Callithrix jacchus: one gene and its partners. The protein of the gene in region 1 interacts with the protein of each later gene in a biochemical or structural test. Links are inferred from orthologs where the notes say so. Each region holds a gene or a part of one and is shown on either strand. Other genes may lie near its edges. The genes, in order: CREBBP, SREBF1, CARM1, MYB, KAT2B, FOXO1 and SMAD3.

Region 1 (4,267 bases):
GGCGCTCGCCACCCCACTCTCATAGGTGAGGATATCGGCCTCGCCGCCTCGGGCTGGGAACAGGCGTGAGGTCCCCTCACTCTCTAGTATCACGAGGTGGGGCGGGATCCGAATTCTGGCCCTGCCACTTTCTGCCTTGGCGACTTTGGAGAAGTTGCTCTGCCCTTCCTGCCTCAGTTTCCCCATCGGCCCACCTCGTCGGCGGACCCGAGGGCGGTCTGTACCTCGCAGGGGCCATTCCACTTCCCTGGCGGCGAGGGCTAGTGGCGTGGCGTGGTCTGGGCTGGGGTCGCCCCCGGCAGTCCCCGCCCGACACCACCGAGGAGGGTCTCCGGGAAGCGCGGAGCTGGGAACAAGCACCGCCGCCCCAGCGAGACGGGCGGGCCCGGGCCGGCGTCGACTCCACACCCCAAGGCCCGATCCATGGCCAGGCCGCTGCTCCTGGAGTCCGCTCGGGCCAGGAACCACGGCAGTCGTCGCCTAGTCGCCGTCAGAACAAAAGCCGCGGCTCAGCCCGTAGCCCCGGCGTCCCGCAGGCCTCGCCCGCGCCCGGCCACCCGCCGCCCCTTGCTCAGCGGCCGCGCCTTCGGCCCTTCCGCCCGAGCACGCTCGGCTCTTTCCGCCGCGGCCGGCGCAGGTGGAGGGGGCGGGGCGGGGGCTGTGCGTGGTGACGCCGCGGGGGGGGGTGACGCACTGGCGTGCCCCGCCCCCACCCCCTCCCCGTTCAGGCTCTGGAAAGAGAAGAAAAAAAACTTTCTTTTTTTTTTAATTGAGGAATCAACAGCCGCCATCTTGTCGCGGACCCGACCGGGGCTTCGAGCGCGATCTACTCGGCCCCGCCGGTCCCGGGCCCCACAACCGCCCGCGTACCCCGCTCCGCCCGGCCGGCCCGCTCCGCCCGGCCCTCGGCGCCCGCCCCGGCGGCCCCGCTCGCCTCTCGGCTCGGCCTCCCGGAGCCCGGCGGCGGCGGCGGCGGCAGCGGCGGCGGCGGCGGCGGCGGAACGGGGGGTGGGGGGGCCGCGGCGGCGGCGGCGGCGACCCCGCTCGGCGCATTGTTTTTCCTCACGGCGGCGGCGGCGGCGGGCCGCGGGTGGGGAGCGGAGCCCGGAGCCCCCTCGTCGTCGGGCCGCGAGCGAATTCATTAAGTGGGGCGCGGGGGGGGGAGCGAGGCGGCGGCGGCACCACCATGTTCCCGGGGACTGCCTGAGCCGCTCGGCCGGGCGCCGTCGCTGCCAGCCGGCCCCGGGGGGGCAGCCGGGCCGCCGGGGCGTCCCCGCCGCGGAGTGTCGCGCTCGGGAGGCGGGCAGGGGATGAGGGGGCCGCGGCCGGCGGCGGCGGCGGCGGCGGCGGCGGCCGGGGGCGGGCGGTGAGCGCTGCGGGGCGCTGTTGCTGTGGCTGAGATTTGGCCGCCGCCTCCCCCACCCGGCCTGCGCCCTCCCTCTCCCTCGGCGCCCGCCCGCCGGCTCACGGCCGGCGCTCGCTCCTCTCCCTCGCAGCCGGCCGGGCCCCCGACCCCCGCCCGGGCCCTCGCCTGCCCGGCCGCCCGCTCCCGGGGCTGTTTTCGCGAGCAGGTGAAAATGGCCGAGAACTTGCTGGACGGACCTCCTAACCCCAAACGAGCCAAACTCAGCTCGCCCGGCTTCTCGGCGAATGACAGCACAGGTGAGGAGGGGGTCCGGGGCAGCGGGATCCCGGGGCGCGCTGTCACCCCCATCCGGAAGAGAGTGCCCAGGGGTCGTGGTCGCGGAGACCGACCGAGCCGGGAGCCCGGAGCAGGTCCGGCAGCCGGTTCCTCTCGCCCCGCGCCGGAGGGTGGAAGTTCGTCGCAGGACTGTCACTGGGCCCAGATGGGGCAGCACATGCACGATGCACTCGGCCTACCCGCCCCTGATCAGCCCTCCTCGCGGGGACGTGAGTGGCACTCCAGAAGAGAAGAAGTAAAGTGCAGCGTGTGGGTTTGTTTGGGAATGCCCTACGCACCCTTCCACGGCCGTCCACACGCGTGGCTGTCCAGAGGAATGACAGCGGAGGGTACATTTGATGCTTAGAGAAAGCAAGATCGCGGCCAGAGGTAGCGCGATGTGTTTTCTTGATTGGCGACACATTGACCAGGCTGCAGTCAGAGGACGCAGAGCAGCCGCCAGCTTTGAGTTAGACTGAAGTTAGGAATGAGTGAGTTCCTTGGAAGGATGCTTAGTGCTTATTTTCAAAACTTTTTTTTTTTTTTTGTCAACTAGGCATTTAGTGTTTCGTTTCCATGTATAACTTCAAAAGAAAGTGAAACGGCAGATTTTAAGTTCATTTCGGCTGCAGTCACCGTTTGAGTTTGTGTTGTTTTCACCGTGTACATGTACAAAAAATTAAGGAATGTAGGAATTCCAATTTTTCTAAAAAATATACCAGGATACGGAATAAATCACCTTTTTTGTTTGTTTCCTCTAATTAAACAGCTTCCCTGGAAAGTTTCTTGAGTAATCATAGCTGTTTAAGAGTAGTACTTTAGTTTTCTATTCATTCAGTAATTCTGGGTCCTCCTGCGCTGGTTCATGGTAACATGAACTAGTTGTATTTCCTCTTTGAGAGCTCTTTCCTTTGTGGCAAAAACTTGTGTGCCGCTGCGAACAATTCTGTCTCCAGCGCAGCTTGCATTTCTCCAGTAGTCTTGCAGTGGCAGCGTCTGAAAGTCAGTTTCTAATGAATGAGTCCAAATTGAATTACATTGCTGCCTTCAGATTTGCACTAGACACAGCTGTTCAACTCGTGGAAATATTTCTGTGACCGACCACTAGCATATTCAGAAATCTGCTTCTGCTGTTGAAACAAAACTTGAATTTTGTGGCTTAAGCTTGACTACAATTCCTGGAATCAAGTTTTGATAAGCGACATTTAATATTAATGTAGAAGTGAAAAACTATTTTTAAAAATCACGAGGAGAGAACTTATCAAGTTAAAATTCCTTAAACAGTGGGGAGAAGTAAACGATGCTCGAGGTATATAAAAATCACTAATAATGCTTTTCTTTTTAGCTGATTAAAAGTTGAGTTTGACATTAATCTTATAAAATGAACTTATTGAAGTGAGAAATCTGTAAACAAAATAGTTTTAAGTCCCTTAAAGAACAATAGTTTAAGAGATCTTTGCTGCAAAACAGATCTCCGTTTCTTCATTAACTTTGCTGTGTTTGAGTGAAGAACCTTCACTTCTGTGAGACGTAGGTAGGTCATACAAGGCAAGTTCAGTTGTGAAGGCTGTCTGCTGAGACTGGTAACCTGGGTGGCTTTGTGGCTCTGCTATTGTTGAATGAATTTGTTGTAGATTTTGTGTTAAAAAGGAGGACAGTTAGTAACACAAGCGTTAACAAAAAGCTTTGTCCTGTGTACATCCAGCTGTTTCCAAGATGGAGCCCAAAGGATAGGTTTTTTGATAGTTTCCGTTATTGGATGGCCAGATGCTTAATAAATAACAAAATTGTTTACTTAGTAAAGAACAAAGTTGATCAGAAAGGATTTTCCACACTTACTCACCCTTTCCCCCTTCCTTTCCAATTTTGATCCTTGCAAGGCTCAGGAGCTCTTTTGTGGAAACAAAAGTCAGTTTGAGATGGTCCAATTTAGTCCAAAATAGAAAATCAGCATCATACTTAAGCTGGGTCCTGGGTTACCGTTCATCACCATCACACTATTGTGAAAGGGGCTGTTCGTGTGGAGGATCAAGGAATGAATCCTTATCAACCACATTAAACAAGGGGCCAAGCACCATGGCTCATGTGTGTAATCTCAGCACTTTGGGAGGTGGACGTGGGCGGATCACTTGAGGCCAGGACTTCCAGACCAGCCTGGCCAGCATGACAAAACTCTTTCTTTATTAAAAATACAAAAATTAGCCAGCCAGGCATAGTGAGTGGCAGGTGTCTGTAATCCCAGCTACTTGGGAGGCTGAGGCATGAGAATCGCTTGAACCTGGGAGGCAGAGGTTGCAGTGAGCCGAGATCTTGCTGCTGCACTCTCCCTGGGTGATAGAGTGAGCCTGTCTCCAAAAAAAAAAAAAACGGGATGACCATGTCTGGTTTAACTACTAATCTAAGAAATCAAGTAATGAGATGGTTGGAGATCTGAGGGATGTATATTAAACAGATAAATGCCTGCAGTCGTCTTAAGGACTGGAGGCATTTGGTCATGTGGGACAGACCAGAGAATAACATTTTTGAGGGACTCAATCTTTTTATCGAGGGGATGTGTCTCCCAGGCTCCCAGGGGAAAATTCGGCC
Region 2 (4,077 bases), on another chromosome or scaffold:
CCACACACCCCTTCTAACATGCACAGGAATTTTACTCCTGCTTAGGGTGTGGTCAGACCATATCTGGAGTCTGAGCAAGGCAGTCTGCAGGATGGCTTGACTCATTAAAGCCCAGGGTCCAGAGGGCCTGAGGACCAGGCCCTGGTGAGTTTCCTTGGCTGCCCTCCACCAAGGGTGCTTCTGTCTGCTTGCATACCTCTGGGGACAGGGAGCTCACTGTCTTATCACATTCAGATAACTGAATGTTAATTCTGGTTTATTTCAACCCACCTCATTGGGACCCCTTCCCTCCTTCCCGCTCCACCTGGCTCTGTCCCTAGGCCACAGAACTGGGTTTGGTTTCTCTCTTCTCATCAGGGCTGTCTGCTCTGACCTAGTCCCAGCTGTCATGGTCCAGGGCAGCCTGGCTCTGAGCTAAAGCTCAGCCAACTCTTCCTTGTGGCCCCTGTCTTGGCCACTCCCAGGAACAAGCACCAAATTTGGGATCAGACAGCCCTGGGGCCAGCCGTCCTTGGGTACCCGCTTCCTCTGTCAGGAGCGGCACTGGGCCTGCTGGGGTCCTATCCCTAGGGCTGGATCTGGGACGAAACCAGATGACGACGATAGGAAATTCCAGCCTCTTTCTTCAGTCACTCCTGTCTTCAGGTGGCCAATCTTCTGGTTTCTTTGGAGAGAGGGCAGGCTGATCTCCACATCGTCACTAGCCTCCCAGCCTGCCGGTGAGGAAGCATCATGAGGCCCACGTTACAAATGAGGGAAACTGAAGCTGAGTGATGTAACTGGCCCAGCAGTTACATCAGGTCTGCTCACAACACAGCAAACCTGGGACCCCTGTAACTTGGGTCCTGGTCTGTGTTGTTCTCAAGAGTGAAATCTAGGAAGTGAGGAAGCTTTGGTTTGTGATGGGCCCAGGCCTGGGGCTTCCACTCAGCTCCTTGCTTGGTGCTGGAGAAACCGAGGCCCAGAGAGAGGACTTGGTTTACCCGCGTTCCCGCAGCAGCCGGCCAGAGGCCGCTCTGCCACGGTGCGCGAGGCTGGACAAAATGAATGACTGGAGGGCGCTCTGGAGGAGGGGCCCGCTGAGGGCAGATTTGTGGCGCAGACTGGGGATCAGGGGTACCCGCTCTCTCAAGGTGGGGCGGGGCCGTCTATCTGGGAGGGCGGGGCCTCCCCCGAAAGGCCCCGCCTCCTCCTTCACCGCCCAGCGGAGCCGCTGCCGCGGGAACCCAGTTTCCGAGGAACTTTTCGCGGGCGCCGGACCTCCTGCGAGGCCAGGGCAGGACACGAACGCGTGGAGCGGCGGCGGAAGCTGCGAGCCGGGACCGGCGGCAGTCCCTCAGAAGGGCCGTGCGCGGCGGCGGGCCCGGCGGGCCTCCCGGAGGAGGCGGCTGCGCCATGGACGAGCTGCCCTTCAGCGAGGCGGTTTTGGAGCAGGCGTTGAGCGAGCCGTGCGATCTGGACGCGGCGCTGCTGACCGACATCGAAGGTGCGTCAGGGTGGGCAGGGCTTGAAGCCGCGCCGGGTGGCGCGAGTGGGGGGCGCGCAGGTGGCTCCCTGGCCTTTGTCTCCCCCCTCCCCGGGCGCCAGCTTCGTGCTGAGCTGCGCGCCGTGGACCTCGGTGTCCCGGGCCTCGCCGAGCCTTCCTGGCTCCCGCCCTGGCGTTTCGAGCCGCGCGCTCGGCGAGGACTCCCGGGCCGGGCCGGTGTCCCTTGGCGGCTCCGGGCCGGGACACGTGCGCCTCTACGCGTCCCAGGCCGGGTACCGCCCGACCGGTGGGTGAGTCTCCAGCCCTGTGGCGGCCGCGGCTGGAGCTGGGGACCCGGGCGTCGTCGAAGCCCCGCCCCAGCCCCAGCCGTGACGTCAATGAGAGGTTACTCACGGTCATTCCCTCCGGCCCGAGAGTTCAGCTGGGCGTCGGAGCTCGTGCGCAAGCGCACGGGCGCTGCTCGCCCACTTGCCCGGCCACGGGTCGGGTTTCCCCGGTCTTCTACCGGCATCGCCTCCGCACTCATTCACTAACCGAATGCCAGGCCCCGTCTTAAGCACCGAGGGATCACAGACAGTCCTGGGCACCCGCTCTTTTCGGGAACACCATCCCCCGGGAAACCAGCAAATAGATATTTAGTTGCACGTTGGGTGGAGCGGGGCGAGGGGAGGGCAGGTAGGTGGCTACTTTGGGTAGAGCGTCAGGGACTTCTGAGCTGAGACCTGAGGGCCACCCCCAGGACTAGCAGGGAAAGATGTTTTCCAGGCCAGGGCGAGGGAAGGGCGAAGGCCCCGAGGCAGGGCCTAAGTGTGAGGAGTTAAAGGCTCGTAAAGGTTGCGGAGGGAGAGGACGCCAGCAGCCTTACTCGGCCAGGGAAGGGGCGGAGCAGGACCGCGGCACCTGCTTCCATCTTTGGAGCACCACACTGGCTGTCAGGGGACGGGGTTTGGGGCCAACGGTGGCACTAAGTGCCAGTTAGGAGGCCCGTTGCTTCCATTTTGCAGACAGCAAAGGAAAGTCCCAGCAAATTTCCTCCATGGTTTCCGTGCAGGAGCTTTAGCAACATGGGCTAAGTTGCACTTGGTTGATGAGGAAACTGAGGACGAGGTTGCAGGAAGAAGATGCCTAGACTCACAACCTGAATGGACATGTCCGTGGAACCTGTGGCCACCCTGGGGCTGGCAAAACAGATGTATCTATGCCACCCCCACTCCTGCCCTACTGCAGCCTTGCAGATGAGCTCAGCTGGCTGCCAGCTCCAGGAGCTTCCCAGCCCTTCCTCCTTCCCTCTGGGGCTTGGCTAGGGGAGGACCCAAGAGGAGAGGCCCTGATTTTGAGGCTTTTCCAAAACAGCCTCCCCTACACCTGGCAGGAGGGGTTGTCCTTCACTGCATCCTGGAAAGGTGGACCCTGAAATCCCAAGCCCTAGGGAGATCTAGGCCTGACTTAACTAGTTCCATAGCACAGGGCCCAGTGAGGGTAGTCCAAGAGGCAGCAGGACCAAGCCAGCCGGACATGGGCTTTGGGGTCAGAACTTGAACCTGGATGCTCCTCACTTCCTCTGCCATCCTGCTCAAGCCCTCTCACTCTCTGAACCTTAGTTTCCACCTCCAGAAGAATGAGGATACAAACCCTCCCTTCATGGGCAGCTGGACAGCAGAATCCGGTCTGGGCCACAGGTCTGATACAGACCTTTCTTACTGACTCATGGATAAAAACACTGTCTCTCCAGATCCAAAGGCCAGGCATGGGCAGCCATGTGGCCCAAGTTCTAGTCTGTGAGAGAGCCCCAGTGCCTTGAAGATTCGGCAGCCCCTTCTCACTAGGCAGGCCCAGCTTTACCCAGTTCAGTAGAGGATTTTTCAGTTTTTATTCAAACTTCCTGTTCTTTCCAATTAAACATATTTTTTTTTTATTATTTGTTTTGTTTTGTTTTTTGAGTCGGAGTTTCACTCTTGTTACCCAGGCTGGAGTGCAATGACGCGATCTTGGCTCACTGCAACCTCCGCCTCCTGGGTTCAGGCAATTTTCCTGCCTCAGCCTCCCAAGTAGCTGATATTACAGGCATGTGCCACCATGCCCAGCTAATTTTTTGTATTTTTAGTAGAGCTGGGATTTCACCATGTTGACCAGGATGGTCTCGATCTCTTAACCTCGTGATCCACCCACCTCGGTCTCCCAAAGTGCTGGAATTACAGGTGTGAGCCACCGTGCCCAGCCCCAATTACACATCTTTTTTCATTGTAGAACAATTAGCAAGTGCAAGTGAGCAAAAAGAAGAAACTAAAACCTTTAGACCAGGTGTGGTGGCTCACGCCTATAATCCCAGCACTTTAGGAGGTTGAAGCAGGAGGACTACTTTTATCCAGAAATTTGAGACCAGCCTCGGCCACATGACAAGATCCTGTCTCTACAAAAATAAAAAAATTAGCTGGGTGTGGGTAACACATGTTTGTAGTCTCAGCCATGCTGGAGGCTGAAGTGGGAGGACTGCTTGAAGCTGGAGCTGCAGTGAGCTGTAACTGCGCCACTGCACGCAGCCTGGGTGACAGTGAGATTCTGTCTCAAATAAAACTTTAAAGCTATCACCC
Region 3 (4,203 bases), on another chromosome or scaffold:
AGCCCCAGCTATTCGGGAGGCTGAGGCAGGGGAATTGAACCGGGAGGCAGAGGTTGCAGTGAGCTGAGATCGCAGCACTGCACTACAGCCTGGCCGCAGGGCGAGGCTTTGTTTTTTTAAAAAAGGAAGGAGGCGTAAATGAGGTTTCGGGGAGAGTTAAAGCTGGGGTGCTGGGAGGTGGCCCAAAAGGGATGGGGCCACCGAAAGTGAGGGGGGATGCAGAGAGACACAGGGGTTTGTGTTGCGGGAGAGGGTGCCAGCGCCGGGCTGGGCTGGACTTAGCATCTTTGGAGGAACGGCTCAGAGAGGAGGGGGTCAAGGATATCTTGTGCGAAAGGAGTTAAACTTTAAGGATGGGCCGGGCATGGTGGGAATCACGCCTGTAATCCAACACTTTGGAGGCGAAGGCTGGCGGATCACCTGAGGTCGGGATTCAACACCAGCCTGACCAACATGGTGAAACCCCGTCTTTATTTAAAAAAAAAATTTTTTTTAATAAAAAAAATAAAAAAACTTTAAGGATGAAGAAGGGAGTGTGGGGGGCAGAGATGATAAGGAAGGAAGGAGGGGCGGTCGAAAGACGGGAAGAGGTCCTTTCAACCAGGCTTAGATTGCGCTAGGAGGCGGAGGCCCTTCGGAAACGGTCGATGTCGGGGAGACCAGGAGGCGGGGCCACAGAGTGGGGGCGTGCCCCGAGTGCTGACCACGCCTCCCCCCCAAGCCCGTTCCCAGAGCGGGGCGCCTCACAAAGCGAGTCCGGTCGGGAGGGCGCGGGCAGGTACGGGGCATCGTAGCGGCCGGGCCCCGCCTCCCTGCGGGCTGCCTCACAAAGCCGGGCGGGCCCGGGGGGCGGAGCCCGGTGTCAGGGGCGTGTCCAGGTTGGGGCCGGGAAGCCGCATCACAAAGGGCGGCCGTTCATGCGGGGCGGGGTCCAGGGCGGGGTTCAGGGCGTGTCCGTGCGACGGAGCAAAGCCTCTCCGTCTCCGCGTCTCCGCGCCCCCGCGCCGCCTTACCCAACGCGGCCGTTAAGGAGGCGCGGGCTTGGGGGCGGGGCCCGGGTCTCCGACGGGCGTGTCCGCCAGCCCGAGCACCGCCCCGACGCACACTCCTGCCCCTCTGTTCCGGGCGGCGGAGCCACCTCACAAAGCGGCGACCGTTCTCGCGGGGCGGGGCGGTCCCGCTCCCTGGCGCGCGCTCGCGCGCTCGCTCGCTCCCCGCGCCCAGGGTGGCCGGCAGGGGGCGCAGCACCACGCGGCCGGGCTGCGGCAGCGGTGGCGGCGGCGGCAGCGAGGCGGAGCGTGGCCGGCAGGCGGCGCTGCCCGGCTCGGCCTCGGCCTCGGCCTGCACGGCGGCGGCGGCGGCGGCGGCGGCGGCGACCTGGGCCCGGGCGCAGCGGCGACGGCGGGGCCTGGAGCCGGATCTAAGATGGCAGCGGCGGCGACGGCGGCGGTGGGGCCGGGCGCGGGCGGCGCGGGGGTGGCGGGTCCGGGCGGCGCGGGGCCCTGCGCGGCCGTGTCCGTGTTCCCCGGCGCCCGCCTCCTCACCATCGGCGACGCGAACGGCGAGATCCAGCGGCACGCGGAACAGCAGGCGCTGCGCCTCGAGGTGCGCGCCGGCCCGGACGCGGCGGGCATCGCCCTCTACAGCCGTGAGTGCGGGGCCCCGGGGCGGGTGCAGGGCCGGGGTGCGCACGAGGCCGGCTCGGGGCGGGGGCCGGCAGGGAGGGGCCCGGGGCCCTGGCGTGGGGTCCCAGGGGCCGAGCCCGTGGCCGGCAGGGAGGGCGCGTGGAGGGCGGGTGCCAGAGATCAGACAGAGAAAAGAGGGCGTGCGTGGTGGCCGGAGGGGCGAGGTACCCGGAGTGAGCAGGGAAGCGGGAAATGGGGAGTGAGGGGCCTGAGATTTGAGAGGGGAGGGTGGGCAGGAAGTGGGGGGCCCTGAGTGGAAGGGGAATTTGAAGGAAGCTGGGCATGGGGGGCTTAAGCGTGGGGTAGGGAGGCTTGGGGTGCAGGAGAGGTGGGCGTCTCGGGGGCGGGCGTGGCCGCCTCTGCAGGGAGCAGGGTGGGGCGTGGGCGGCCCGGAATTCTCTCTGGGGACCCCTGGACAGCTCAGGACGGTCGGAAAGTGTTTGCTTGCCCGGGAGGACCGAGTTCCACCCCTGTGAAAGGCATGGTGTTTAGGACCCCCGAGAGGGAAACTTCGGGACCTGGGGAGAGGACCCATGCGTGGACGGTGGGAGCCGCAGGATGAGCTCCTGGTGGAAACGTGAACTGGCGGGGCCCCTTCCTGATGCCGGGCTTGGAAGTAAGAGGTAACACAGCTCTCTCCCATCCCTTCACCAGGGATGTGAGACGCTGGTTACATTTTCCGAAGCTGCTTTCAAAACTGACATTTCACGGGATGGTGGGGCGGGAGAAAATCACAAATGTTTTTGCCGCCCCCACCGCCCCCGGTCTTTGTAGTTCATTCTTCTTGTTATTCTTCTTATCTCTTCTCTTTGATTCCTGGTTCACATTTTGCTATTCTGTGTCATTTGGCTTTGTCTCTCTGGGCTTCTGGCACTGATGCCCTGGTGAGCCCCTCAGGAGGCCTCTAGCTGGCTTGGGTCCCGTGTGAATTTTTTGCCACTTTGGGAATGGGCCGATTAACGGAAATCCCGAGGAGCAGTCGGTTCACACTGGGTTTTCCCTGAACCTCGACTTTGAGAACGTGGACTAAAGGAGCCGTGTCTGCTGCACAAGGGTGCCGTCTCTTTGCTGGGGCAGAGCCTGGGTCTTCTTGAACCAGATGAGGAGAGGGGAAGGAGGATATTTCAGGGGGGCTTTCAGAGTTCAAGGCAGACACTCAGCTCAGTAGAACCCCAGATCACAAACAAAACCTATTCATTGGTGAAGAATTGGTAGATAGTTCTGTCCTGAACAGAACAAAGTGGGGGAGCATTTCTAAAACTAGGGTCCCGGAGCTTATCCTCAAAGGAGTTCCAGGAGAGCTGGCTATCTTTTTTTTGTTTTGTTTTTTGAGAAAGATTCTCACTCTGTCTCCCAGGCTGGAGTGCAATGGTGCTATCTCGGCTCACTGCAACCTCCACCTCCTGGGTTCAAGCAATTCTACCTCAGCCTCCTGAGTAGCTGGGACTACAGGCCTTCGCCACCATGCCCAGCTAATTTTTTGTATTTTTTTTTTTTTTTTTTTTTTAGTAGAGATGGGGTTTCACTGTGCTGGCCAGGCTGGTCTTGAACTTCTGACCTCATGATCGGCCCGCCTCAGCCTCCTAAAGTGCTGGGATTACAGGTGTGAGCCACTGTGCCCGGCCCTGGCTATGATTTTTAAATAAACCTTTAAGTTTTTTTTTTGGACCAGGCACCGTGGGTCAACACTTTGGGAGGCCAAGGTGGAAGGATCACTTGATGTCAGGAGTTTGAGACCTGGCTGACTAACATGGTGAAACCCTGTTGTCTCTACTAAAAATACAAAAATTAGCTGGCCAGGGAGGCACGTTCCTGTAGTCCCAGCTACTAGGGAGGCAGAGGCAGGAGAATCACCTGAACCTGGGAGGCAGAGGTTGCAGTGAGCTGAGCCATTGCACTCTAGCCTGGGAGACAGAGCCAGCCTCCGTCTCAAAAAACAAAACAAAACACAACTTTTAGAACAGTTTTAGTTTTTTTTTTGTTTTTTGTTTTTTTGAGATGGAGTTTCGCTCTTGTTACCCAGGCTGCAGTGCAATGGCGCGATCTCGGCTCACCGCAGCCTCCACCTCCCGGGTTCAGGCAATTCTCCTGCCTCAGCCTCCCGAGTAGCTGGGATTACAGGCGCGCGCCACCATGCCCAGCTAATTTTTGTATTTTTAGTAGAGACGGGGTTTCACCATGTTGACCAGGATGGTCTCTATCCCTTGACCTTGTGATCCACCCGCCTCGGCCTCCGGAAGTGCTGGGATTACAGGCGTGAGTCACCCACCCCGCCCGGCCCCTTTGCCCCTTTCGTGTTTTCTTACTCCTGGAGTAACATTTTGTGTGTTTTTTGTTTTGTTGTTATTCTCGAATATTCCTTATTATTAAGACAGAACTTCTCTTTGAGAGGTAATTGCAACAGAAACACTTTTTATCATTAGAGACTAGGTTTCACTATGCTACTGTGTTGCCCAGGCTCCTCTCTAACTCCTGAGCTCCTCCCAGCATGCTGCGATTACAGGTGTGAGCCACCCCA
Region 4 (3,609 bases), on another chromosome or scaffold:
TGTCACACAGGCTGGAGTGCAGGGGCATGAGCATAGCTCAATACATCCTTGAACTCCTGGGCTCAAGGGATCCTTTCACCTCAGCCTCTTGAGTAGCTAGGCCTACAGGTGCACGCCACTACACCCAACTGATTTTAAAACACTTTTGTAGAGTTGATCTTACTGTGTTGCCCTGGCTGGTCTCAAACTCCTGGCCTCAAGCAATCCTTTTGCCTCCCAAAGTGCTGAGATTATAGGCATGGGCCACTGTACCTGGCCACCAATATTCATTTTATTATACCACTTTGCTTAATTTTTTACTCCATTGATTAAAGAAATAAGGTATTTCTCGAATTCTCATACTACTTCAAGGATTTTAAATGTCAATATAATAATGCTTTCTTTTTAATGAACAAGGCAAAGAAATGACCTCATTATGAGAGATAACTATGGAAGCTCATTTTTGTCCCATTTTCCCACTTAAATAGTATATAACAGATTTTGTTACTCTGGAAAGCAGTACTTTTAATGATAAATTTTGCATAAAAATGATACAGATAGAAAATATTAAAAATAGTTTTATTCTTGAGCTTCATAATCCAGGAGAAAGTTTATGTAGTATTCTCCAGTGATGCTCCAATGCATTTGCACCCTCGTGGTTCAGTATAAACTTAGAAAATTCAAGAGGTTGGTAAAAAGAGGTCTTCATTCCCATATGGCCTCAGAGGATACACTGCTGATTCTTCTCAAAATTAACAAGGCTATCGAACTTCCTCTTTCTTTAGCATGCATTCCCCCACCCCCATTGAAATAGTAAAAGGGAGGCTTAAACGGTTTTTTTGAATTGAGAAACTGTTTTTCCTGAGAATGGAAAGACTTTAGTAAAAAGGCGTTGCTGTTTGAAACTATACTGCGGGGGTTAGGATCTTTCCCTTGGGAATGCCATTTTCCACCCTCATCTCTGTCTGATTGGAATAACAATTGGGGTGGTTTTTAAAGGGTAGGAGGTTTTTTGGTCTCAAAAGTTCTTGCTAGTCCTTCGAGAGATAAAGAGTGAAGTATTCTTCATCAGCAGCATCTTATCACCCACCAAACTTCACCGTGTCCCTATTGTGGTGTGTAGGCCCTGCTGTGCTGCATTCAAAGAAGGAATTTCTTCAAAGCAGCTGGAACTTCACATTGTGTTAGAGTCTTGTACCACAAACGGTCAGAATAATTATGAAGCGTCATTGTATTGAAAATACTCCTTTACCAAGGAAATGAAATGGTTAAAAGATACTGACATTTCTAGAAAACGATGTGCATTCCAGATTGTGTAACTAAGAGAAATCTATGGATTTCTAACAAGGCAATAGAGAAAGCCTGATCTTAGGGGGTGGAGAAGAAGAAAACCATTAAAAAGGGGGAAAACTATGACTGGGCCCAAGGGAAAGGTCTGTGTTAGAAACAGTTTTCTGTCAATTCACTTTAATCTGAATTGAAATTTTTTGTTTGTGAAATTTGTATGTGATATATTTCTGTGCAGAACTGATAATGCTATCAAGAACCACTGGAATTCTACAATGCGTCGGAAGGTCGAACAGGAAGGTTATCTGCAGGACTCTTCAAAAGCCAGCCAGCCAGCAGTGGCCACAAGCTTCCAGAAGAACAGTCATTTGATGGGTTTTGCTCAGGCTCCACCTACAGCTCAACTCCCTGCAACTGGCCAGCCCTCCGTTAACAATGACTATTCCTATTACCACATTTCTGAAGCACAAAATGTAAGCCATTCTTGAGAATCTGGTTTAATGAGAGAGATGGTTAATTTAGCTCCAGGTAGTAATCATATTTTGCAGTTGTATACTGTTCAGAGAACCTTCCTGGGCATGATCATGGCCAGTCGTCTTCAACTTTCCTGGGCATGATCATGAGGTAGATAGGGTGTAGATATTGTTTGTTATCACTGGTTTATGTCTTCAGAAATGAAGATGGTAAGTGCTTTGCTCAGGGTGACATAGAGATAGTGTTGACTAGAATTCTAACTTGCTGCTTCAAATCTAATTTGAAGGTAACCTTTGAATGTAAATGTACTTAAGGTACGGTTGAAGAATAAGGGAATGGAGTTGCATTTGTAGATGTAACACTTTTCTCTACCAAAACCAAAAGGAAAGATATATTTAAAGATATATTTAAAGAGTTTGACAGTGAAATTCAGTGGTTATGGTATATTCAGTTCTGGTAATGATCTAGCAGACATGTCTTGATTTATTCACTCAGTAAGTGTTTACCCTCTTATTCTAAGTCAGGAGCAGAACTTTGTGACATTCATTTTCTGATGCCTCCTCTTAGTCTCCTTTGGATCAGTGTGATCCCTTCCTTATTTCTAGATGTTTTTATTTAGAGAAAGAGATAATCCATAATAGGTGGGAAAAGAAAAAGAGGAAAAGAAATCGAGAAGCTTTAATCTTAAGACTAACAATAATAAATGATGAAACTTACCCAAGAATGGGTAGGCTTATATGCAAATTCTATGCAAAACATGTTCATAAATAGTTTTTATTCTTCTCTGTTCATGCATTTGACTACAAACTTTACAGAAAGGTCTCAGATGAATACATTATCATAAGAAGTTCTGTGCTTTTTATTAAAATTCATAATTATTCCAAGAAAAATATTTTTATTTACACACAGCTGGTGCCATTAGTTTTTCCCATAGAAACTATTTTCAAACATTCATTCATGTATTTAGATTATATTTTTTATTTTTTCATTGTGTTTTTCTCTAATTAAGGAAATTAAAGTGCCAGTAACTTCCCAAAATTTAAAGTGCTCATCAACATTTCCCAAGGATCTATAAGCACTTTAAATTTTTTTACTATGTTGCTTTAGCTATTTAACCATTTTAAAGGCCTGGCTAAATTTCACAGTAAAAGGTTTTTAAAAATTGTTTAGTGTATTTCAGTCCCAGAACAAAACCTCAGGAAGCCAAGTCCCCTGAAGCATATGTAACCCTGAATGACGTGGCCTTTGTCTCTCTTTCCCATCTAGGTCTCCAGTCATGTTCCATACCCTGTAGCGTTACATGTAAATATAGTCAATGTCCCTCAGCCAGCTGCCGCTGCCATTCAGGTATGATCATTTTATAAAGAAACTCATTTACTATTCAAAGCACCACTTTTAAGAAATGCTTTATTTCTTTCATCTAAACACATATTTTCACCTGAGCAACTGAACTTAAAAGGAAAGGGAATGTGGAGAGGAGAGCAGAGTCTCGGCTAGCCATCTACCAAGCTTGTCTTCTAGACTGAGTTTGCTCTGGAATTTTCTGATTCTTTGATGTTACAAGATGAAATAACTCAGTCAGCATCCACTCTAGCCTGAGATTTCACATCACTCCCTTAAGTCTGAAGTAACGTTTATAGAGATTTCCATAGGAGCCAAATTTGGTGGGTGTTGGTGTCACACTGAGTCTCTTTGGGCTGTCTTTGGTACCTCATGACCATATAGGCTACACCCATTGTATTTGTAGCTTCCAATCAGACCTTTGTCTTTATTTCCCTTATCTTGTAATTTCAGAGACACTATAATGATGAAGACCCTGAGAAGGAAAAGCGAATAAAGGAATTAGAATTGCTCCTTATGTCAACTGAA
Region 5 (4,323 bases), on another chromosome or scaffold:
GAGTGAGACCCTGTCTCAAAAGAAAAAGAATTTTTTTAAAAATAAAAGAAATTTTCTCTTACTATAAGTTGGGTCATAAAAGTGACCAGAAAACACTCAAATCTCAAACTTTGGAAGTGGTGCTACATCTCACCCATGGAAATTTGAAAAGATCACAGGTATCAATGCAGGGCACATATGCTCATGGTTTTAGATAAAACCAAAATTTCAGGAAAGTTTTCAGATATTAAAGGTACAGCAGGCAGCAGGAAATCTTTAACAGGTGCTAGTGAGGAGAACCCAATAAATAAAATTAAAAATAAAGCCAGGACAGGCCGGGCACAGTGGCTCACGTCTATAATCCCAGCACTTTGGGAGGCCAAGGCGGGCAGGTCACCTGAGGTCAGGAGTTTGAGACCACCCTGACCAACATGGAGAAACTCCATCTCTATTAAAATACAAAAAATTAGCCAGGCATGGTGGCGCATGCCTGTAATCCCAAGCTGCTTGGGAGGCTGAGGCAGGAGAAACGCTTGAACCTGGGAGGCAGAGGTTGCAGTGAGCCAAGTTCACGCCACTGAAGTCCAGCCCGGGCAATAAGGGCGAATCTCCATTTCAAAAATAATTAAATAAAGCCAGTACAGAAACACTGAGTTGACACAGTTCCTACACGAGCCCACTTCGGCTGCAAAACACCAAGGCCACCAAGAAATTGACCTTCTTCTGTGTTTTCATAGGTTTTGGGGAAGAGGTGGTTGTTTAGTTACATGAGTAAGTTCTTTAGTGGTGATCTGTTAGATTTTGGTGTACCTATCACCCAAGCAGTACGCCCTATACCCATGACCTTGTTCTTAATTCTATACACAGCTCTCCCTTCTGCCTGCCACAGTCAGTGTCCTGTTCTCATCAGTCTAACGCCCTTCATCATCAACTCCTGGGCTTGTGCCTTTCTTAGAAGCACACTCCCAACTTCATCTTCTTTGCATTCCTTCTTCAGAAATAACCACATGGCATTATTATTTGTTTCTGTCTTTTCTACTGAATTCAAAGAGCCAAATAATATACTGCCCAGTTCTGAACTGGAACGTGGTCTGTGGACTAGCGTAGTATCACTTAGGAGTTGGTCAGAAATGCAGACCCTCAGCTTCCACCTCAGACCAGCTGGTTCAGAATCAGCATTTTAACCAGTTTCCCCAGGAGATTCCTATCCACATTAACGTTTGAGGAGCAGTGGGCTAGATCCTACATTCACTCAACAAATATTTATTGAACCAGTATAGGACACAGAGGTGCTCAATATAAACATGAGGATATGGTGTGGAAAAAGAGCAAGCACAGACATTCCATTGCGACTGAGAAGCTCCTGTAAGTACTAAAAAGAGTCTAACCGAGATGTTCTAGTAGGATAAATTATAGTTATGTCACAATTCAGAAGTGGCCCCTGCAGCTTGGTTGTGGGAATCAGGAATCTGGAACCGGGCAACCTGACCCTGCTTGCAGCAGGCAGGAAGAACACATGGGAGGTGTGTGTGTGTGTGAGTGTGTCTCTTCCCTGCCTCAGCCACAGGCCGCAGGAGCTGACAAGGCCAAGTCCCCGCCCCCCTCAGCTGTCACCCTGTCAAAACAAAGCCGCTGCTGACAGCGCAGGGCCAGCCTGCCCCGCGGCCTCGGGCATTGCTCCCACCTCGGGAGCACAGCCTCCACATCTGGATCTGCAGCTGGGGGTGACGGGGTTCCTAAACTGGCATGGAGAGTGGATAGCAAGAAATAGGTGTCCTCACACTGGGCAGTAGTGCCCGCTGTGCTGGGCTGTCACCTTGCCAAATCCTGTTTACACCTCGAGCAGCTGGGACAGCGTTTTAACTAAACAAGTAATAATACAATAATGACAGGGCTGTCACTGCGCCCGGCAGTGCCTCCGCCCCCAGCCGAGGGCGCCAGGCTCCAAGAGACCCTCGCCTCGAGCTCTGCCCACCTTCCCGCCCCGCGCCTTCCTCCCCTTCGCTTTCCCAAAGCGCCAAGAGTCCGCGAGTCTTCACCCCCACTCCTTGTACCCAGTTCCTCCCAATGGGACAAGGGAGGAGATCGACTGCAGAAGGGACCACTCAGTGCGCCAAAAGATTTTTCTTTGCCCCGGGGTCTCCCGCCACATGGAGAGCACCGTTCCACTCCCGGCAAAGTGACTCCAGCGAGCTCCTACAGAGCAACAAAACCCCAGGGTAGCCCGGGAGCTCGGAAGCCGAAGCCACTCTTTTCAAGCTGAAGGAACGAAGGGCTCTCGGTCTTAGCGATCCCCCTTCTTCAAACCCAGCAGGACTCTTATCCAAGAAGAAGCTAATTGGGCGCGGGCGACAAGAGCACTTCCGCGGTGCAGCGGCCCCAGGCGGGAGGCGAGAGGCAGGAGGCGGGAGGCGGGGGTGAAGGAGGGAGGGGGAGGGGGTCCCGCGGGCTGGGCCCCTAGCACCATCCGCGGTCCGAGAGCAGCCCGCGCGTACCTTGCAGGCGGAGTACACTCCGAGTTTCTCCAGTTTCTTGGCCCGTGGAGCGGAGCGTAGTTGCGCCTTCTTCACGGCGATTCGGGCCGAGCCACCGCCTCCCGGTCCTTCGGCCGTGCCCGCTGCAGCCACTGCCGTAGCCGGACCGCAGGCGCCCGAGCCCCCGGCGGCAGCAGCGCAGGGGGAGCCCTGCGGGGGCGCGGGCGGCAGCGCCGCAGGCGGGGGGGGCAGCGCCCCGGGCCCGGCCCCTGCCCCGGCTCCTGCCCCGCAGCCGCCCGGCCCGGCCCCGCCAGCCTCGGACATGCCGCCCCGGAGCACGGCAGGAGGCGCCGAGTGTCAGGCGCCGCCGCCGCCGCCAGGGTCTCCCTCTCGGGCTCTGGTCGTCGGGAGAGCGAGACCCTCCCCCCACGCCCTCCCGCCCCCTTCGCCCACCCCCCTCCCCGCCCCCGCCCTCCCCCGCGCGCGCCGCTTGCCCGGCTCGCTCCGGCCGGGGCCCGCGCGCTGATGGTGGTGGCGGCTGTGGCGGCGGCGACGGCAGCGGCGGCAGCTGCTCCCCCAGGAGGGAGGGGACTAGCGGCTCCGCTGCCGCCACCGCCGCCACAGCACACGCCCTCCCTCGGTTCTCCTGCCCGGGACTCTGCTCGGCGCCCTGGCCGCGGACATGTTCCTCGGGGCTGCGGACTGGGTGTGCGTGCCGGCGGCCGCCAGCCTCCTAGTGTGCCGGAGCCGGGAGGCCCCCCACGGCCTCTTTTCCGCTGCCCGCGGGGTTTGCACCCCCCACCCGGGTGCCTCGACACCTACGGCTCGCCCGCCAGGGGGCGAGGCCAATCCCTGGGTGTGGGTGAGGGTGGGGACGAGGGTGGGGGTAGGGGCCTGGAGCCCAGGCACCTGCTGGCCACCTCCCCCCTCCGCAGCCCCCCATCCGACCCCGCACGCCCGCGCCAGTGTGAGGGGGCAGCCTCTCAGTCATTTGTCCTTCCACTCTCTTCCACCCTGTCTCTGAGCGGAGAGACAACTTCCTCCACCCTAGCGGGAGCCAGAGGAAAAAAAAAATACATTTTTGAAAAGTACCCGTCCATGCTAATCCTTTTCTTTGTTGCTAATTCATCAAAATAAAGGCGTGATGTTCTCCCTTTCTCTTTTTAAACACTTTCTGTCAAACTGTGTTTTAACATAATTAACACTTTCTTCCCATAGCAATTTCTGGGCCAAATCTGCCAGAGGGGGGGGAAAAACTTAATATTCTCTGTAATTTTTGTTTGAAAGTGCTGGTTGCTCAAAGAACGATTGCCTAAAATCATTGTCAAAATAAAAACTATGTGCAGTGGAAAAAGTTTAAATACAAAAAGTTTGTTAACAGGATTCGTCTCTGGGTGGTGGTTCTATAACGTTTCGTAGTTTTCAAAATTGTACCATCAGCGTGCATATTAACCAGGAAAAAAAAATTAAGCATCATTCAAAAGAATAAATATTGATTTTGGCTTCAAACTTTCAAAAGAAAAAAAAAAGACAACCTCAACTCAGTGTTTTCAACTCTTGTTGAAAACTATTGTTTTCACTGTTGATGACTGGAGCATAGATGTCAGTGCTGCGTTTGAAATGGTGTACCGTTGGTCGCCTTCCTAAAGCAGGTTTTAAAAGCCCAGGCTGTTTCCCAGGACCCTTCAGAAGTGCCCTACTTTTTGTTGTATGTAATGTGGGTCATAATGTGCTTATTATCAGACTCTACCCATGCTGTATAGCTCCCCAGCCAGACGCCTTAAGGGTTGTGTTTTTCCTTCAAAACAGTCCCCCTCTCCTTTTTCCAGATTCTCTATGTTCTTTTGACTTGTAGTGCAGGATAATGTAT
Region 6 (4,081 bases), on another chromosome or scaffold:
CTGAGACACAAGGGCCATTATCTTCCTACCTTTGGCCCCACTGATCCTTGACAGGATGTCCTGGACCTGCAGCCCAGATGAGGAAAGATGGGGTGTGGGTGGGGGTTTGACTGACGCACACAGCAAGTAGCCTCAAGAACTTGGGGGTGGGGCAGGCTGCGCCCCAAGGCTTTGGTCCTATCCCCCGCCCCCCCCCGCCGTTTTTACTTAACACCCGATCACTTCCGTTGTAAATATAAAATAACAAACAGTTAAATTTAATTAGGGGTAGGTAGTAAAGTGTCTTGGTTCTCGATAACTGCGTTCCTAAGCCCTTCGCTGCGGGCCCTGAACTCAGTGGACGAAGCTGGAAGTTCCCGCCCAGGGGAAGAAGTTCCCACGGAGGGCAGGCGGTTGCGGGTGCCTTTGGATCCCTGTCTGCACTGAGACCGGAGTACCTCCTCCGGGCGCCGGAGTCCCAGTTCCTCACGTTTAGCCCTTTAAAAAAGGTCAAGGATACAGTAAATCCGGCTGGGGGCTGCTCGGCTGGGCGACGCGTCCGCAGCTAGACAGAAAGGCACAGGCTGAGCCCGGGGGTGCGGACAGGTGGGCGCGGGGCGCGGAGAAGGCACCCTAGGCGCGGACTCCACCGCGGGGGGCCGCGGCGCCTGGGGCGGGGGGCGCGTGCCGCCCGTGCGGGGGCCGGAGGACTTGACAGATCGCAGCGAAAGAAAACATTCAACCAAAACAAAACCCAGCGATTCCCCACGTTGCTCAGCAAAGACTTCGTGGGTGGAGCCAGGAGGGAGCTACTGGGTAGAATTCTGCGCGGCCGCCTCCGCCCGTCCACCCCGCGCCCCCGGCCCCCGGCCCTGCCCGCTCGCGGGACTCGGCCCGCAGCCGAGGTCAGGGCGTAGCGAGCGCCTCGTCCCACCCGGGCTTCCAGAGTACTCGGCTCTGCAGCTCCGTAGTAAACAAAGTGTCGCCGCCACCTCCACGCTGGTTTGCTTCCTAGCAATCAAAACACTGAGAAGGCGAGAGAATCACAGAAACACTCGAGAATTACCAGAAAATAACAGAGATCCAAAAAAAATAAAAAAGGTGTGTGAAAGAGAAAAACACCCCGCTACCCCCACCAGCCCACTGCCGCCTCCCGGCGGAAAACCGGGCCCCGCCCAGCCCGGAGCGCACTGGCTGCCCGGGCGGCGGTGCCGCGTGCCCATTGGCTGCGCGAACTGTCGGTCAGGGGCGGGCCGGCGCGCGCGTCGCCGCGGGCGGGGGGCGGCGGCAGATCCCGTAAGTCGGGCGGCCTCGTAGTTGCTGCAGCCGCCGCCGCCGCCGCCGCCACATTCAACAGGCAGCAGCGCAGCGGGCGCGCCGCCGGGCAAAGCGAGCGGCCGCGGCGTCCGTCCGTCCTTCCGTCCGCGGCCCTGTCAGCGGGAGCGCGGCGCAGGCTGTGCCCCGGCTCGGCGGCTCCGGCCCGCCGTCCAGTCCGTGCGGCAGACCCCGAGGAGCCTGGATGTGGATGGCCCCGCGAAGTTAAGTTCTGGGCTCGCGCCTGCACCCCGCCGCGCCTTCCTCCCAGTGTCCGTCCGCTCGGCGCACCGGCTTCGTCCCCCCAAATCCCGGACCGTCTCTTCGCGCCCCCTCGCCCTCTGCCCCCGGTGCTGCGCTCTTCCCCTCTCGGCTCTCTCGCGGCTGGGGGAGGGGCGGGGGTCACCATGGCCGAAGCGCCCCAGGTGGTGGAGATCGACCCGGACTTCGAGCCGCTGCCCCGGCCGCGCTCGTGCACCTGGCCGCTGCCCAGGCCGGAGTTTAGCCAGTCCAGTTCGGCCACCTCCAGCCCGGCGCCGTCGGGCGGCGCGGCTGCCAATCCCGACGCCGCGGCGGGCCTGCCCTCGGCCTCGGCGGCCGCTGTCAGCGCTGAGTTCATGAGCAACCTGAGCCTGCTGGAGGAGAACGAGGACTTCCCGCAGGCGCCCGGCTCCGTGGCGGCGGCGGTGGCGGCGGCTGCCGTGGCCGCCGCCGGGGGACTGTGCGGGGACTTCCAGGGCCCGGAGGCGGGCTGCCTGCACCCAGCGCCGCCGCAGCCCCCGCCGCCCGGGCCGCTGCCGCAGCACCCACCAGTGCCCCCCGCCGCCGCCGGGCCGCTCGCGGGACAGCCGCGCAAGAGCAGCTCGTCCCGCCGCAACGCGTGGGGCAACCTGTCCTACGCTGACCTCATCACCAAGGCCATCGAGAGTTCGGCGGAGAAGCGGCTCACGCTGTCGCAGATCTACGAGTGGATGGTCAAGAGCGTGCCCTACTTCAAGGATAAGGGTGACAGCAACAGCTCCGCGGGCTGGAAGGTGAGCGGCCTCGGCGCGCGGCCGGACCTTGGGGGCGCGGTGGGGCAGGCGAGGGCGCAGCTGTGCAGGTTTGCTCGGCCCGAGGGTGCGGGGCAGGAGGGCAGCGCGTGCCTAGGAGGGCGGGCGCGAATCGGTGGTCGCAGTGGGCTCGCCCGGGTCCGTCCGGGACCGCAGTAGGTGTGCGCGCGCGCCAGAGTCCGCGTGGGACGCGGACAGGGGTTCGTTGGGGAACTAAGTAAAGAACGTGCGTCAAGAAGTGGACGTCAGAGCGGCCGAAAAGTTTGCCAGTGAAAGGAGAAAGGGGTTCGCTGGGAGCGGCACCCCCACGGCCCGCGCTGACTGCTTCGGCTGCCCCTTCCCTCCTTGACCTCCGCGGGGCGAGGGCGGGTCCTCTCCCGCCGCGCCGCGAGGCTGTTTCCGCCGGGCGCGGCGGGGGAGGGCACGGAAAGGGTCCCCGGAGCCTCCCTGCCCCGGGACGGGGCTGCAGGTGGAGGGGACTGGCAGAGCGCGATCGGCTGGGGACGGTGTAAGTCCGGCCACGCAGTTTCGGGAGGCGGTGCGCATTTTGCTTTGTTTTGGTTTTCTCCGGAGTGGCCTCGAGTTCAGGGGGCCGGGCGTCCCGATCCCGAGGTGGCGCCTCCGACACGTGCGAAGGGGCGGCCACCGCCTGCGGAGCGCCGGCGCCCGGCCGCGCGGGGCGAGCTAAAGTTCAAGTGTGACCCTCGGCGGGGGCGGGCGCGGGCGGTGACGAGGGAGGGGCTCTGGGCGCAGGAAGCTAGTGCCTTTAAAGGGCCAGCGCGTCCGGGTCGGGCGCCTTGGGGCCCGCGCTTCCCCATGGGGGAAGCGCCCGAATCTGGTCTTGCCCCTGGTACGAGGCTTTTAGTTAGAAACACAGAGGCTGCCCTGGGGTGCCGGGGGCTGGGATGTGTGCGTCTTTTCCTGCCTTGCTCTACCCTATTCTTGAGCGGGGAGGTCCAGATGGGGGAGCTGGGGGCCAGACGAGGGGCTTTGCGACCAGTGTTTTGACGGAGTCGGAGTGGCGGTGCGCGTTGAGGGAGCGGAGCCTGGAAGGAGGATTTTTGCCTTTCAGAACGTGGCCAGGAGGCACTTCAGCGTGGGGGCAGGCACTTACCGACTCCGAGGAGGGCCTCGGCTAGGTCCGGGGAGGCTTCCCGGGGGCGAGGTCCAGTCGCCGCGCGGCCTCCCCAAGCTGACAGTTTCTCACTGTCACCGGTGGCAGAACTGCTGTAAAGGCTGACTAGTTGAGTAAACACTGTTTTTTGAGACGGAGTCTCGCTCTGTCGCCAGGCTGGAGTGCAGTGGTGCGATCTTGGCTCACTGCAACCTCCGACTCCCTGGTTCACGCGATTCTCTGCCTCAGCCTTCCGAGTAGCCGGGATTACAGGCAGGAACCACCACGCCCAGCTAATTTTTGTATTTTTAGTAGAGACGGCGTTTTACCATGTTGACCAGAATGGTCTCGATCTCCTGACTTCGTGATCCGCCCACCTCGGCCTCCCAAAATGTTGGGGATAACAGGCGTGAGCCACTGCGCCCGGCCGAGCTAAACACCTTTTAAAACAAACTTTCCTCGCCTCTCTTGTCGACTGTATAGCATAATAAAGATTGGTGTTTGCTGCGCAGTTGTTAAACCAAGGTTATTTTACATAGTGTCGTCCCTGTGGTTAAAGCGTGTCAAAAAGGTTAAGTTACTCACACCGTATTGAAGCTCCTGGAGGAGTTCAAGATGCATT
Region 7 (3,609 bases), on another chromosome or scaffold:
GCCCCACCCCCATCTTTTGGGTGAGGGCTGAATTGGCTCTGGTGTTGTTTGTCAGCTCATAGAATGTCAGAGCTGGAAGGACCTCTGAGGCCAGCCCCTCATTATACAGAGACACAGGGTCCCCAAGAGAATGTGACCAGCTCAGAGTCACACAGCAAGAACAGGAGACTGCTGTTGGCTCATTCATAAGCGTCACCCCAGCTCACCTTTTGGCTATTTCCGGCATGTGCTTTTGTCTTTATTTTTTGGGTTCACACATTCCTGGCACTCAGGCAGTATGACTTCAAACGACATTTATTTTAAACTTTGTGACTGTCTTTAGTTTGACTGTCTGGAGAATTAGATGCACACCTTCACTTAGCTGTGAATGTCACCTCCACCCAGCCTGGTGCCAGAGGCCAAAATGTGGCCCAGATCTTGCCTTCCCGCCTAGCCCCAGTACCAGGTGTATTCATCAGAGGAGCCCAGGTGGAAGTTATCCTGGGCCCTCTGCTGAGCTTCCCATGGGACAGCAGGCCCAGTAGCCTTTCGGCCAGCCTGTCCCTGCTGGCACTGCCTGCTATGGAACAGCCAGAGCTCCTGTTCCTAGGTGGGCAACCAGACCCCACACAGCATGGGCACCCTGGCCCAGGTCCCTTGTCTCTCCACACCATCTCCCTATTCTCAGAGGCCCACTTGGAGAATTCTCTCCACTCTGGGAGTCAGAACTTATGGGCCAGTCTTCCATCTCCCCTTGCAGATATGTCAGCTGTGCACCTCCTGGTGAGGAGGTGGGTTCAAGGGGAGGATCAAGTCAGCCTGTCTCTCGAGTGGTACTACTGTGGAGTGTATGGGAAATGCATCACACACCGTGTGTCCCCGGAGCTGCATCAGTCAGGCTGGTCTGGGGGATCCAGGGCTTGCTTTATGCAGGACAGGAGCAATGGACCTGGCTTTTTCTACCCCCCAGTCCTGTTTCTGTGTTGTTGGCAGGATGCAACCTGAAGATCTTCAACAACCAGGAGTTCGCTGCCCTCCTGGCCCAATCCGTCAACCAGGGCTTCGAGGCTGTCTACCAGTTGACCCGCATGTGCACCATCCGCATGAGCTTCGTCAAAGGCTGGGGAGCAGAGTACAGGTCAGTTATGGGTGCTGCCAACATCAGGGGACCTAACTCCAGGTGACTTGGGACAGCAGAGCAGCCAGGGACTCCTCAGAGGTGAGCCAGGCCATCCCTGGGGTCCATAGTAGAGATCAAAGATCAGAGAGAAGTCATGGCCTAGCAGGCAGGAGGGGCTGGGGCAGCAGCACAGAGTAATGCTTGATGGAACCGAACAGCTGCAGGCATTGTAAACACACGCTCCATCTTACCCTCGTCCCAGCCCTGGGTGGGGACACTGGCATCATCCCCCTGTACACATGAGAGCTAAGGCCCAGGGAGGAAACGTGACTTGCCTGAAGTCACCCGGGTAGAAGAGCTGTGTCTAGAACTCTGCCCTCTTGGCTTCTTCCTTATTCTTCATTTTGGGTTGATGTTTTAGAATGACCCTCTTCAGGACATTAGGTCTTCAGCTCATCGTTCCTTTTCTCCTCCGTGGCTCCACTTCTGACTCAGGGACCGTGGTGATGCTGAGGAGCCCAGGATATTAAAACTGAGAGGCAGGGAAGGGAGGTGATTTGGGTAGTGATAAAGGAACAAAATTTCCTTGCTGAGAAATGACTTTTTTAGAATTCTAGATACTGGTTTCTTTTCTTTTTTGAGATGGAGTCTCACTCTGTCACCCAAGCTGAAGTGCAATGACGCAATCTCGGCTCACTGCAATCTCTACCTCTGGGACTCAAGTGAGTCTCCTGCCTCAGCCTCCCGAGTAGTTGGGATTACAGGAGCACACCACCATATCCAGCTAATTTTTTGTTGTTTTAGTAGAGAGGGAGTTTCACCGCGTTGCCTAGGGTGGCCTCAAACTCCTGAGCTCAGGAGATCCACCTGCCTCAGCCTCCCAAAGTGATGGGATGACAGGCAGGAACCCCCATGCCCAGCCCTAGATTTTGGTTTAAACATGGCCCTGATAGGAGTTCAGGTCTACTTGGTCTGCTTGGTTGAATCTCTCAGGCCATTCTGCTTTGGATTTAGAGAATCACATCCCTTTTCTTTCCACTCATGGACAGGAGTTTGCTGAGAGGCAGGGCTGTGTGTCCCCGCCTTCTGCTCCACACTCCCCCCTGCCAGCCCCCAGCCAGCTCCCGTGGCAGACACAGAGGTGCCCACACGTCAGCTGGAGCCAGCGCCTTGCAAGCTATTCTCCCCTTCTCATTTTTCCAGATGTTTGGAATCCATTTTGTTTTGCAGTCATGCTGCACCCAGGCCAAACCCATTTCAGTGTTGGCCTCGGGCCACCGTTTGTAATGAAATCCAGATGAGAATGACTTATGGAAAGTCAGATTCTCATTAGAGGATTTCATCCTGTAAAATCCTCCTCTTCCACTTACCGTATTTTAGCTGCTGTTCTTCTGCGTCTGCCCCAGGGTGTCAGGGAACATAGCCCCTTGGTCTCTGGAGTGTCTCTGAAATCCAGGAGTGACCAATTGAGCAATCACAGTGGTCAGACCTCAGAAGAACTTACAACCATGGTATGGCCTGAAGAGATTAGCCCAGGTCCAAAGGTCCAACTGGAGAAATGTTTTAAAACCTTTTAGCCCTGGCTTAGAACATTTAGGGAACGGGAGTGAATCTTTTTTTTAGTGGAGAAGGGACATCTTTAAAGATGGACTGCAGTGGAAAAGAGCAAGGGGACATCCATTTGCTCTTCTTACACCAGGCTGTAGTCCAGAGGGCCACACTCAGGTACCCTTGCTGATGCAGATTCCCCAGGATGTACAGGCCCATTTCTGAACCTCCCCTCTGTACAAGCAAAGCATAGGCCAAGCAAGGAGGGTGATGCCCTCCAGACAGCAGCCCTGTTCGTGGTACGGCATCGCAGCGCTGTAAGTGCTAGGAGAGGCTCTTTGGTGGTGGAGCCTGTCCCTGGGGACACTGTATCACCACGCGGGATGTCCTGCCAGCACACCCAGTCCTCTGAGGCCCACCGCGTCACTGCTGCCTGGCAGCACTGCACAGCAGCCCAACGGGCAGGCACGGCCCCTTCCCAGAACAGCCTTGTTGTCGTTCTGCCTGTTGGGCCAAGGAGAGTAAGATTTCAGCCCTTCTCTCTGTGAGGTGGCCGAAAGCAGGGCCCAAGGCCCACACCTCTCACCTCCAGCTGGCACCAGTGACTCCAGCCTCAGCAGATAGCCTTTGCTCAGTGGAGGCCTTTGGGAGCCTGCCTGCATGCTGCGTCATCAACAAGCCTGAATTTAGACAAAGTGCTTTGGCGAAAAGAAACGTGTGGTGTGCCTTGGTTTTTTCCAGTAATTGTTCCATGGCTCACTCTGCTTGTAAGATTTTCCAAAATAAGGCTGTAGATGAGAATTATATCAGCACATTGGGAACCAAAGGCATGCGGACACTGTTGGCACTTTGTAAAAAACACCCCTCAATCAGACAGACACACGTCATCACGGCCTGCTGGGGCTGGGCCTGGATTTGGAGATAGGGGAGTGGCACGAGCCCATGTGGTACAGATGGGAGCC

What was found.
Region 2: the proteins of CREBBP (region 1) and SREBF1 form a complex in vitro, tested with the Homo sapiens proteins (5 studies listed by BioGRID, with this or other methods). The link is inferred for Callithrix jacchus from reciprocal best matches to the Homo sapiens genes CREBBP and SREBF1.
Region 3: of the proteins of CREBBP (region 1) and CARM1, one has a biochemical effect on the other in vitro, tested with the Homo sapiens proteins (4 studies listed by BioGRID, with this or other methods). The link is inferred for Callithrix jacchus from reciprocal best matches to the Homo sapiens genes CREBBP and CARM1.
Region 4: the proteins of CREBBP (region 1) and MYB form a complex in vitro, tested with the Homo sapiens proteins (6 studies listed by BioGRID, with this or other methods). The link is inferred for Callithrix jacchus from reciprocal best matches to the Homo sapiens genes CREBBP and MYB.
Region 5: the proteins of CREBBP (region 1) and KAT2B form a complex in vitro, tested with the Homo sapiens proteins (4 studies listed by BioGRID). The link is inferred for Callithrix jacchus from reciprocal best matches to the Homo sapiens genes CREBBP and KAT2B.
Region 6: the proteins of CREBBP (region 1) and FOXO1 form a complex in vitro, tested with the Homo sapiens proteins (3 studies listed by BioGRID, with this or other methods). The link is inferred for Callithrix jacchus from reciprocal best matches to the Homo sapiens genes CREBBP and FOXO1.
Region 7: the proteins of CREBBP (region 1) and SMAD3 form a complex in vitro, tested with the Homo sapiens proteins (3 studies listed by BioGRID, with this or other methods). The link is inferred for Callithrix jacchus from reciprocal best matches to the Homo sapiens genes CREBBP and SMAD3.

Annotation. Positions count from the first base shown.
Region 1 is NC_133513.1:5,997,317-6,001,583, reverse strand, and holds the start of CREBBP (CREB-binding protein), read left to right. Parts: upstream 1-1,447; 5' UTR 1,448-1,577; coding exon 1,578-1,662; intron 1,663-4,267. UniProt on the Homo sapiens protein: Acetylates histones, giving a specific tag for transcriptional activation. Mediates acetylation of histone H3 at 'Lys-18' and 'Lys-27' (H3K18ac and H3K27ac, respectively).
Region 2 is NC_133506.1:69,313,175-69,317,251, forward strand, and holds the start of SREBF1 (sterol regulatory element-binding protein 1), read left to right. Parts: upstream 1-1,228; 5' UTR 1,229-1,395; coding exon 1,396-1,486; intron 1,487-4,077.
Region 3 is NC_133523.1:10,039,730-10,043,932, forward strand, and holds the start of CARM1 (histone-arginine methyltransferase CARM1), read left to right. Parts: upstream 1-1,314; 5' UTR 1,315-1,425; coding exon 1,426-1,648; intron 1,649-2,088; exon of another isoform or gene 2,089-2,286; coding exon of another isoform or gene 2,287-2,308; intron 2,309-4,203. UniProt on the Homo sapiens protein: Methylates (mono- and asymmetric dimethylation) the guanidino nitrogens of arginyl residues in several proteins involved in DNA packaging, transcription regulation, pre-mRNA splicing, and mRNA stability.
Region 4 is NC_133505.1:141,913,467-141,917,075, forward strand, and holds part of MYB (transcriptional activator Myb), read left to right. Parts: intron 1-1,504; coding exon 1,505-1,739; intron 1,740-3,006; coding exon 3,007-3,087; intron 3,088-3,534; coding exon 3,535-3,609. UniProt on the Homo sapiens protein: Transcriptional activator; DNA-binding protein that specifically recognize the sequence 5'-YAAC[GT]G-3'. Plays an important role in the control of proliferation and differentiation of hematopoietic progenitor cells.
Region 5 is NC_133518.1:58,551,550-58,555,872, reverse strand, and holds the start of KAT2B (histone acetyltransferase KAT2B), read right to left. Parts: upstream 2,853-4,323; 5' UTR 2,778-2,852; coding exon 2,475-2,777; intron 1-2,474. UniProt on the Homo sapiens protein: Functions as a histone acetyltransferase (HAT) to promote transcriptional activation. Has significant histone acetyltransferase activity with core histones (H3 and H4), and also with nucleosome core particles.
Region 6 is NC_133506.1:159,848,042-159,852,122, reverse strand, and holds the start of FOXO1 (forkhead box protein O1), read left to right. Parts: upstream 1-1,268; 5' UTR 1,269-1,700; coding exon 1,701-2,327; intron 2,328-4,081. UniProt on the Homo sapiens protein: Transcription factor that is the main target of insulin signaling and regulates metabolic homeostasis in response to oxidative stress.
Region 7 is NC_133509.1:14,237,814-14,241,422, forward strand, and holds part of SMAD3 (mothers against decapentaplegic homolog 3), read left to right. Parts: intron 1-972; coding exon 973-1,117; intron 1,118-3,609. UniProt on the Homo sapiens protein: Receptor-regulated SMAD (R-SMAD) that is an intracellular signal transducer and transcriptional modulator activated by TGF-beta (transforming growth factor) and activin type 1 receptor kinases.